2 linked regions of the Coturnix japonica genome follow. The protein of the gene in region 2 interacts with the protein of the main gene of each other region in a biochemical or structural test. Links are inferred from orthologs where the notes say so. Each region holds a gene or a part of one and is shown on either strand. Other genes may lie near its edges.

The links. The genes of interacting proteins can lie anywhere in the genome.
Region 1: the proteins of AP2M1 (region 2) and ATG9A interact in a biophysical measurement, tested with the Homo sapiens proteins (4 studies listed by BioGRID and IntAct, with this or other methods). The link is inferred for Coturnix japonica from reciprocal best matches to the Homo sapiens genes AP2M1 and ATG9A.

What each region holds. Positions count from the first base shown.
Region 1 is NC_029522.1:24,495,550-24,500,495, reverse strand, and holds the end of ATG9A (autophagy-related protein 9A), read left to right. Parts: intron 1-78; coding exon 79-299; intron 300-398; coding exon 399-516; intron 517-668; coding exon 669-888; intron 889-1,028; coding exon 1,029-1,171; intron 1,172-1,279; coding exon 1,280-1,285; 3' UTR 1,286-3,277; downstream 3,278-4,946. Other genes in the region: ABCB6 (ATP-binding cassette sub-family B member 6, mitochondrial), read left to right, coding at 4,452-4,946. UniProt on the Homo sapiens protein: Phospholipid scramblase involved in autophagy by mediating autophagosomal membrane expansion. Cycles between the preautophagosomal structure/phagophore assembly site (PAS) and the cytoplasmic vesicle pool and supplies membrane for the growing autophagosome.
Region 2 is NC_029524.1:13,826,203-13,830,486, reverse strand, and holds the start of AP2M1 (AP-2 complex subunit mu), read right to left. Parts: upstream 2,801-4,284; 5' UTR 2,673-2,800; intron 1-2,672. Other genes in the region: DVL3 (segment polarity protein dishevelled homolog DVL-3), read right to left, coding at 4,230-4,261.

The DNA.
Region 1 (4,946 bases), on a different chromosome or scaffold from region 2:
TCAGTTTTGTCTCAGTGGTGGGGGTTTTGTCTCCAAGTCTGTGCAGGCAGTGATTCTCTTTCTCTTTTGTCTCTGCAGCCTCACAGCCTGATTGCCAATGTGATAGCAGGCTCCTCAGTGCTGGGATTCCACATGGGCCGTGATGGACAGGCCTCTCGTCATCTCTCCGAAGTGGCTTCAGCCCTGCGTTCCTTCTCCCCACTCCAGTCTGCCCAGCAGCCCTCTGGTGGCTTTCAGACAACAGGAAGGGATGGAGAGGGAACCCAGCCTCGTGGTTCCAGTGCCATGACAGCCTCTGGGTAAGAGCATGCGGTGGCCTTCACTGCCTGACCCTAGAGCAGAGAGAGGCTTGGTGGTATCTGCAGCCACATAAACATCACTCTTGTTTCCCATGGCAGTGCTGATGCGAGGACTGTGAGCTCGGGGAGCAGTGCCTGGGAGGGTCAGCTGCAGAGCATGATCCTGTCAGAGTATGCCTCCACTGAGATGAGTCTCCACGCACTCTACATGCATGAGGTGAGTTGAGCTAACCAGAGGGGATGTGGGCCCAGGGCAGGCAGGACTGGAGTGCCCTGCTTTGGGTGGCTTGGATTGGCTGGAAGAGCCTTGCTGGGGAGAGGGTGCATTGGGGCATCTGTAGCTGACCCACCTGTATCTTGGCTGTGCAGTTGCACAAGCAGCATGCCCAGATGGAGCCCGAGCGGCACACCTGGCACCGGCGAGAGAGTGACGAGAGTGGTGAGAGCACCCATGAGGAGCTGGATGCTCAGCGAGGTGCCCCCGTCCCCCTCCCTCGCTCTGCCAGTTACCCCTTCTCATCTCGGCAGCCTGCTGAGGAGACAGCCACGTTGCAGACGGGCTTCCAGCGACGGTATGGCGGCATCACAGGTATGGGAGCCGGAGCAGAGGTCTGAACCTTCTGGTCACAGTCCCGTAACCCTTGTCCTGTAATACTGGCACAAGCAACATGCTTGTCTCTGAAGACTGACAGCCCCCCAGGTAGCTGATCCTCCTTGCCTTTCCTACAGACCCAGGCACAGTGCACAGAGCCCCATCACACTTCTCCCGCCTCCCACTGGGAGGCTGGGCTGAGGATGGGCAGTCAGCGAGACACCCAGAGCCTGTGCCAGAGGAGAGCTCAGAGGATGAGCTTCCACCGCAGATCCACAAGGTAAGGGAGGAGGCTGTGGCAGACAGGGGCAGCAGGTGCTCTGGATGTCAGGCTGCAGACCAGCTGCCAGCAGCCCTTAAATGCTGAAGTCCTGTCTCTGTCTTGCAGGTATAGCCTTGCAGACCGGGGATCTCGTGGGGGTTGCAGACTGGAAGCCACCTGGGCAGCAGGATGTGGTGTCAGCCCAATTCCTCTCCTATCCCGAGGGGATAGGATGGTCATGGGCTCCATTTTGTTGCCATCGATTGCTGATGAGACAAAACTGCCAGGCCAGCAGCTTTGCGGTGGCGCCTTGTGTCCAGCCGTGTGTCAAGCCAACGTCACTCTGACTCTTGTGGGGTGAATGCGTGTGTGAGTACATACATGTGTCTGTGTTCACATCTGTGTCGTCCGTGTCGGAGGATCACTGCAGAGCCGCTGACAGAGCTGTGGATGGGCTTGGAGGTGGCAATGGCAGCTGCTGTTTGAAGGGATGTGACAAGGCAGCAGCTCCAGATGTCCGCCCGGAGCTGGGACCTGCCTTCGAAATGAAAGCAGGGATGGCTGGCAGCAGTGGGAGCTGTCGGAGCTGCCTTGCTCAGTCTGTAGCAGTGCTGGAACCACACCTGCAGCCCTGGGGAAGTGCCCTGCGCCATGTTCCACCTCGTGGAGAGGATCAATGTTGCACACCTCAGTCTGGAACGGGACAGCGGTGGGGCCCACCCCTCTCTGTGCACATGTGTGCTGCCCTGACACCCTGCAGCAGGATGATCCTCAGCTGCTGCTGTGTGTGTAGGGTTGGGAATAGCTCTGCTGCAGCTCCATCCCCAGCTCTCGTGACACCTGCCCTGTCCCAGGCATACAGGAGAGGGGTCCGTGGAGTGGCAGTCCTGGGTCTCTGTCCCTCCCCACTGGCAGCCCCCTGTGCCAGCCCTCTGTCCTGGGCTAGAATAGCACTTCCTGACCTGCATGGTGCTCGGTTGATGGGCTGCTCCCAGGCCCTCTCGCAGTGCCAAAGAGCTGGTGCAGCCTGATGTCCCCTGGGAGTGCACGTAGCCTGCTCGCAGCCCACAGTGAAGGTCTTGTGCTCTGTGCGCTGATTCCCTTCCCCCAGGCATCATAAAGGCCTTTTTCCTATGCCCGGTCTGTGATGCGTCAGGCCTGTTCTGTGATATCAGCCCTTTCCTCCTGCCCTAACAATGGCTTCAGTGTGTCCTGCCTCTCACCCAGGGGCTCCTGGCTCCTTTCCTTCCTTCCTGAAATCTTTTTGCGAGGATTGCTGTGGAGACCATAAGCTGAGCAGCTGCCTCATGTCATGTCATGGAGGGGGCAGGGAAGAAGGGGTACCTTGAACCCTGAAGTGAGAGGCAAACCACAGCCCAACCTTGATGTGATGGAAGGGTGTGAATCAGGATCTTGGCTTTACAGCACGGCCTTGGCCAGCCCTTCGCTCGGATCGTGCTGTTTTCCCTCATCTCTTGCAGTGGCTGCTTGCGAGGACCTACATCTCAGCTGCCCTTGCCCGGCTTTATTCCACCTCCCTGGCTCTTGTTGCCTGCAGGAGAGACTCCTTGCTTTTTCTATGCCCTGCCCTTCCCCTTCCTGGAGCACAGGTGACCTTTCTCTCCCTGCCAGGCTATTGCCCCGTGCCCTTTGTGCCTGGTGCAGCAGCAGGGACAGGAGGGAGGGGATGGCAAGCAGGGCTGGCTCTGCACCTCACATCCGTGGGCTGCCCTGCTGGTTGTAACTGCAGCCGTTCTAACACCCTTTATTTCCCTGCCTCCATGGGAACCGTAAGCGATGGTGATGTCCTTTGTGCTGCCTGGGCTCCCTCTAGGCACAGTGGGCAGTGCTTGGAGCCTGCAATACACAGTGAGGGGGTTTCAGAGGCTGTGCTCTGGAGGGAAGGAGAGCCCTTTTGCTGGGCTAATGGGAAGGACAGGCAGGGCAGGAGTCCTCGCTGCATGTTGTGCTTGTGTCGTCGGTGTCCCCTGTGCATGGCGAGCCGCAATTCTACATCTCCTTCCTGGGTCGGTGGGCCCGGGGCGCCCAGGGGGGGTGGTGCTGCAGCCCCGCGCCCTCACTGTACAGCTGTCTTGCCATCCAATAAAGATGGGCTGTGTCATCTGTCTGCCTATGAGTGTCACAGCGGCGTGGGGGGGCAGCGATGGTGCCGGGCACCCCGGTGCCCGCGGAGCGTGATTGTAAGGCGGTGAGGAGCCAAACCGGCCGGATTTAGGGCTCAATTTACTGGGACCACGCGGGGGGGGGGGCAGAGCCGCCGTGCCGCAGCAGCGAGGGGGCCTCGAAGGGACTCGGATCCGTGCGGTGAAGGAGCAGCAGCTGAGCGCCCGTCGGGCCGGCGGCCAGAGGGAGCTATAAATACCGGCAGCGCTCCGTCCTGCCCGACCTCTAACAGCGCGCCGGGCTATCGCCGTGCCGCACAACCGGGCTGCTCGTCGCGATAAGCAGCGCCGGCTCCGGTCCCCCACGGCGACACCCCACCTGGGAGCGCTTCGGGGGCGGGGTGGGACGCGATCCGTGGAGCCGGGGGACGGGGGGAAGGAAGGAAGGCCGTGCTGCGGGGCGGGGAGCGGGGCGGGGAGCGGAGCGGGGCGGTGCTACGGCCTGCGGGAGGCACGGGGAGCGGAGCGGAGCGGGGCAGGTGAGCGGGACAGGGGCTCGGGGGGCGGCGGGACGGCGGGCATGGGAACGGGAACGGGAACGGGAACGGGAACGGCGGAGCGGTCGGAGCCGCGATGCGCTCGGGAAGCGGCCCCTGCGCGGCTCCCACGGCGCCGGTGCCGGCCCGGCGTGTCCCTGCGCGTTGCCGGCGTTACTCGGTGTATTTCCTCGTGCGTTGTCCCGTGCTTTATCCTGCGTTTTCTCCACGCGTTGCCCCTTGTTTTTCCCCACGCAGTGCTCTGCCGTTCCCCACGTGTCACCCCTGCGTTCCCCGCCGCGTTCCCCACCCGCAGAGCGCTCGGGAGCATCCCCCTGCCCGGAGCGGTGCCTCTGTATCCCTGCAACGGTGGCAGCGCTGAGCGCTCACTGACCCGACGTCCAAGTGCACGGGGTGACTCTCCCCCCAACCTTTCTCCCCCTTCAAGCCACCAAGTGCAGTGCCAGGCCACAGAGCTGACCCCAACCGCTGCTCATGCTCTGCTGCACACAGAGTGTGTCCCACATGGGTTCACCCCCACCACTGCCCCCTGCCTGGCCGTGCCATCCTGCCCTACAGTTGCAGCCTTGCAGCACCCTGAGACCCCATCTTCTTCTCTCTAGCCACAGACCGGCCAGGATGGCGTTGCTGGAGGGATACTGCGAGCCCAACAGCTCCATGGCACAGGCCTGGGTGCAGCAGGGCTTCCAGCCCTGTTTCTTCTTCACGCTGGTGCCGGCCGTGCTGTTGAGTGTCTGCCTGCTGCTGGGTGCCCTGCAGTACGCCTGCTACGTCCGCTTTGGCCGTGCCATGGAGCCCAAGTACATCCCTCGCTCGCATCTTTACCGTGCCCAGGTCCTGCTGTCCTTGCTGCTGGCTCTGCTGCCCCTCGGTGGGCTGCTCTGGCAGCTGGGGGGCCCAGGGAGGCTCTATGGGTACATGGTGCTGTATACCTGCCTCTGGGCTGCTGCCTGGGGCTGCGCCGTCGCCCTCCTGCAGCTGGAGCACACGCGGGTGCTGGCAAATGACCGCACACGAGGCCACGGCACCGTCCTCCTCCTCTTCTGGGCTCTGGCCTTCGCTGCTGAGAACCTGACCCTGGTGTGCTGGAGGAGCCCGCTGTGGTGGTGGGCG
Region 2 (4,284 bases):
TTGGTAGCAAAGTCACCATCTTAAAAGTCTGCTACAAAAAGGATCGTGTACAAAAACAAACTGCTGGGATGTGTGTTTGAATGCATGACAGCTCTAATGCCGGGTGTTCCTTTAAAAGCCAGACTTTGCCCTTTCACACCTACATTGTGCCACGCACTTGGAACGCAGCTCAGCAAAGCAGTGTCCTGATGCCAGGCTGTCAGCAGCTTCAATTCTGAGGTGCAGCATGTGGCTGACCTGGGAGCACAGACACAATGCACTAAGTGCAGCATCCACACCAGAAGAAAAACACCTTCCTGGAATTTCCTTGCAGCCCTGATATCACCTTGAATGAAAAGAAGAGCGTTTATTACGTACAGAGTCCATCTTGGAAGCAGCAGCCACAAGTCAGTCGATAAGCTGGCACAGAGCACCAACCCATTTAGCAGTCTATTAAAAGAAAGTTTGGGTTCAGACTTAACAGTAAGTAAGACTTCTGTGCATTAGCGAGCTTATCCAGCTAAGCAGTTTGAGGTACATTAGCTGCTGGAGCTCTCATCCAGGAAGAAGCCAGGAGAGGTGCTGCAGCTCTCCCAGGACCAAGGGCAAACCAACTGTAACGGTTTGTGCATTCCAGCAGTCACTGTGATCTTGGACAAATGACAGCAGTAGAAGCAGGAGGCGGATTAGTCAGGCTGCTCTGGCAAACAAGCTATTTAAGAAACTAGTCTTTTCAAGCTAGCACTAGCTGTTATCAAACCGACAGGCTTAAGGCTTACCTCGAATGTCATCACGCAGCAGCTAATCTGAGCACCTAAGCTTTGCTTATAGCGCTGCATTAGCCACTGTCCAGGAGGCCACGGGCCACACCTGGTTTTAAAGAAGAGTAGCCGCAATCCTGGGGAACACAGGCCGTGTAATTTAATTAAGACACATAATGTGAGCTAAAGAGCTCCCGAGATAAGCCCATCGGTGTCAGAGGAAGCGTTCCAATTTTAAACCCAATCCCACAAATCCCCACAAGCAGTGGGCAGGAAGAGAAGCACGTTGAACACTAAGCAGGCTCCCCTCCTACAGCCTCTGCGTGCCGTGCTGCACGCCATCAGCTTATAGAGGATGAGAGAAACCCTGACACAGGGAAACACGACAGGCCTCGTTATTAAAGCACCACACAGCCCTCCAGCTTAGAGCATATTCACAGCCTTCAGCTGTACAAGCTCAGGAAACTGATGCAAGACACTGTGCTGCACTAGATTAGCTTCATCTCACCTCTGCACCAAGAGGCCAAGAAAAGTTTAACCAGGGTCACGTGAAGCAAACAAAAAGACACACACAAACCCTGAGATAGCCCAGAAAGAATCCTCTATCTCTGCTTCAAAAAGCTGCAGATATGACCCTTTGTACCCTCAAGACTCAGCTCTTCAAAGACCAGGAATGTGCTGTCTCGAGAGAAGGGGAGAAGCCGGCCATAATATCCTATGGAGACATCACATCATATGGAAGAAAATACAGCCCAAAGGACGCCGGGTATCTCTGTCACTAGATGTCAGTAACATGGCTCTGCCCGCAGAAGATGAACGATGCCCCCGCTCTGACAAGGAAAATATGGCAGCAGGCAGCTGGGATGCATCTCATCAGGCTGGAGGTTGTCCCTGCAAGCAACTCACTGGGACAAGTCTAATTTTTACTATAAGGCAAAAAAAAGCAGTAACTGCAGCGCTGCATTCACATTAATGGTGCCCAACAACTTATGTACCCGCATAAGCCTAAATGTGGATACAAATCCAACACAACCAGAGCTCTGAGCTACTGAAGCCACTCAGATGTGCTTATCTGGGAACGTTCCAGGCTCAGATTCCGAAAGCCTTAGGCTAAAAACTCAGGGCAGCTTTGTCATCCTGAAGTGAGGAGAAAACAGAGATCACACAGCTGACGGGGAGTCATTTCCCGGTGGGGCCAGCGATCAGCTGCACAGGGCGACAAACAAGGCAGCTTTTCCTGCAGCTCTGCAGGATCCAAAGCCCAGCCCGAGGAAGGAAGGAAGAGGAACCGCATCCATAGGCGCTGCTGGATAGAGGCCCTCTTTACGCTTCAGCACAGCATCACCAGAGGCGCTCTGCGCCCAGCAGCTTTTCCATAGAGGAAGCTGGAGGTGACAAGCCACGGCCGAGCGAAGCCCCGTCCCATCGGCTGAATGATTCCCGGGGAAGTTCCCGCTGATCCGATTAAAGGACCTTTGTTCGGGCTGACCCGGCACGTAGCCGGGGCCGTTCCCCAGGCTCCGTGTGCCGCACCGAGCCCACCCGACCCCCCAGGGCCGCCGCTCCGACCCCACCGCTCCAAGAAACGCCCGAGCCCGGCGGGTTTAGAGCCGGTCGCATCCCATCCATCCATCCATCCATCCATCCCATCCATCCCATCCATCCCATCCATCCCCCGGGGCCGAGCACAGTCCTGCCGCGCAGCCCCGCCGCCCCGTGAACTGCGGCCGAGCCCCGAGCGCTGAGGGGAGGCGGCCCGGCGCTGTCACAGCCGCACCGAGGAGGCCCGCGGACCCCCGGCCCCGAGCGTTGAGGGAACGGCCGCTGCCCGCCGAACCCCGGCCGGTCACCCAGCCCAACACAGATAGAGCCCCACAGCCCCACAGGGAGCCAAACCAGGCCGCTCGGCCCCATGGCAGCACGCCGCCTCACCTGCCGCCGCCCGCCGCCGCTCGCCGCCCAGCGCCCAAGATGGCGGCTGCCGCCCCCCCGTCCCTCAGCGCCCCCCCTAGCACTGCAGAGCCGCCGCCGCGCATGCGCTGCCCGCGCCCCGCTGGCACTGCGCATGCGTCAAGCGTGGAGGCGGGAAGGACTGATCCGCGCGGTGCATGCTGGGAGATGTAGTCCTGAGGCGCGGACGCGCTGGGAGTTGTAGTTCGTGGGGGACGGCACAGAGCAGCTAGGCCTCAATATGGGGCTGTAAGGGGAGGCCGCCCTCACCCTGCACGGCCCCGCTGGTCCCCACTGCACAGTATGGGCATTTATGGGCATATATGAGGCTGACACCATGCATGGGCACACACATTGTATATCCCAATGGAGAACAGCCAGCACCCCTACACAGCGGGATGTGGCAGGGAGTGGGAAGCAGAATGGTCCAAAACAAAACGCGAGGCAGGAGTCCAATAAAACTATGTTTATAAATAAAAACAAGGAGAATGGTTCTGTTTTTGTAAAATCCAGTGAGTAGGGCAGGGTGAGGAGAGGCAGTGAGAGGGACCAGGGGTTACAGGGGGCAGTTGGGCAGTGCCACCACACTGAGCCCCATGTGCATGGAAAGAGGTGTGAGCAAGCGGGGAGGGCACATGGGGCAGGCTGGAGGGTATAATACAGAGCTCAGGAGTGAAACACATTTTATCTCCAGAGTGTAAGAGAACCACAAACAGAAAGAGTGAAGGAGACAACAGGAGGGCGCTAAGGGAGCATGGACCCACATCTCCTCCCCACGGCCCAGCAGGAGTGGAGAGGAGCAGCTCTGAGCGGCCGTGAGAGGAGGAAAAAGGATGAGGAGGGCTGGAGCAAGTGACCCACAGCTCTGTGTGAGCCCAGAGGAGCTGCAAGCACTGCCCACAAAGCTCACGTCCCTCCCAAGCATCGCACACAGGGAATGGAGCAGGGTAAGGTCAGTGCTGCCCCTCTCTGCACACAAACACTGTGTTCCCCCATAGTGTGCCTTCCCTCACTCACTGGCTGCATTCTCAGCTCTCAAAAAGGTCCCACTGCTGTGTGGTGTTGCAATGGCAGAGCCACAGCTGCCCCAAGGACTGCCCTTGCAAGTGACGGGGGCAAAGAGCAGGGCAGAGGCCCTCTCTAGGCTTCTTTGGGCCAAGTGAGCACTCACCCCATAGCCCTGAATTCTACAAGTCCCATAGGAAGTAAGGCAGGGGGCATGGCCCCAGTGCCAAGGACAGGGCAGGGGGAAGGAGTGCTCTTCCCTAAGGCCGGGGCAAGAAGGGGAGGCAAAGGGCACCATCTCCCCATTCCCCACAGGCAGTGAAGCCCTGGAACATTCAGACATTGGCTGAAAGGCAACTACAAAGGGATTTAAAATTCATGTAAGGCTGGGCCCGGCTCCCCTCTCAGGGCGTCTTCCGCTAGGGGGAGAAAAGCAGCCATCTTCAGCGCCATGCGCGCACAGCGCCCTTGGAGCTCCGTGTCCTCCTGTCGGGCCACGCCACGCTCCAGCTCTCCCCCCTGTGGGCAGCAGGCTCAGAGAAAGTCAAACACCCCGTAATTCTTTGCTGCTTGATAGAAGAAACACAAA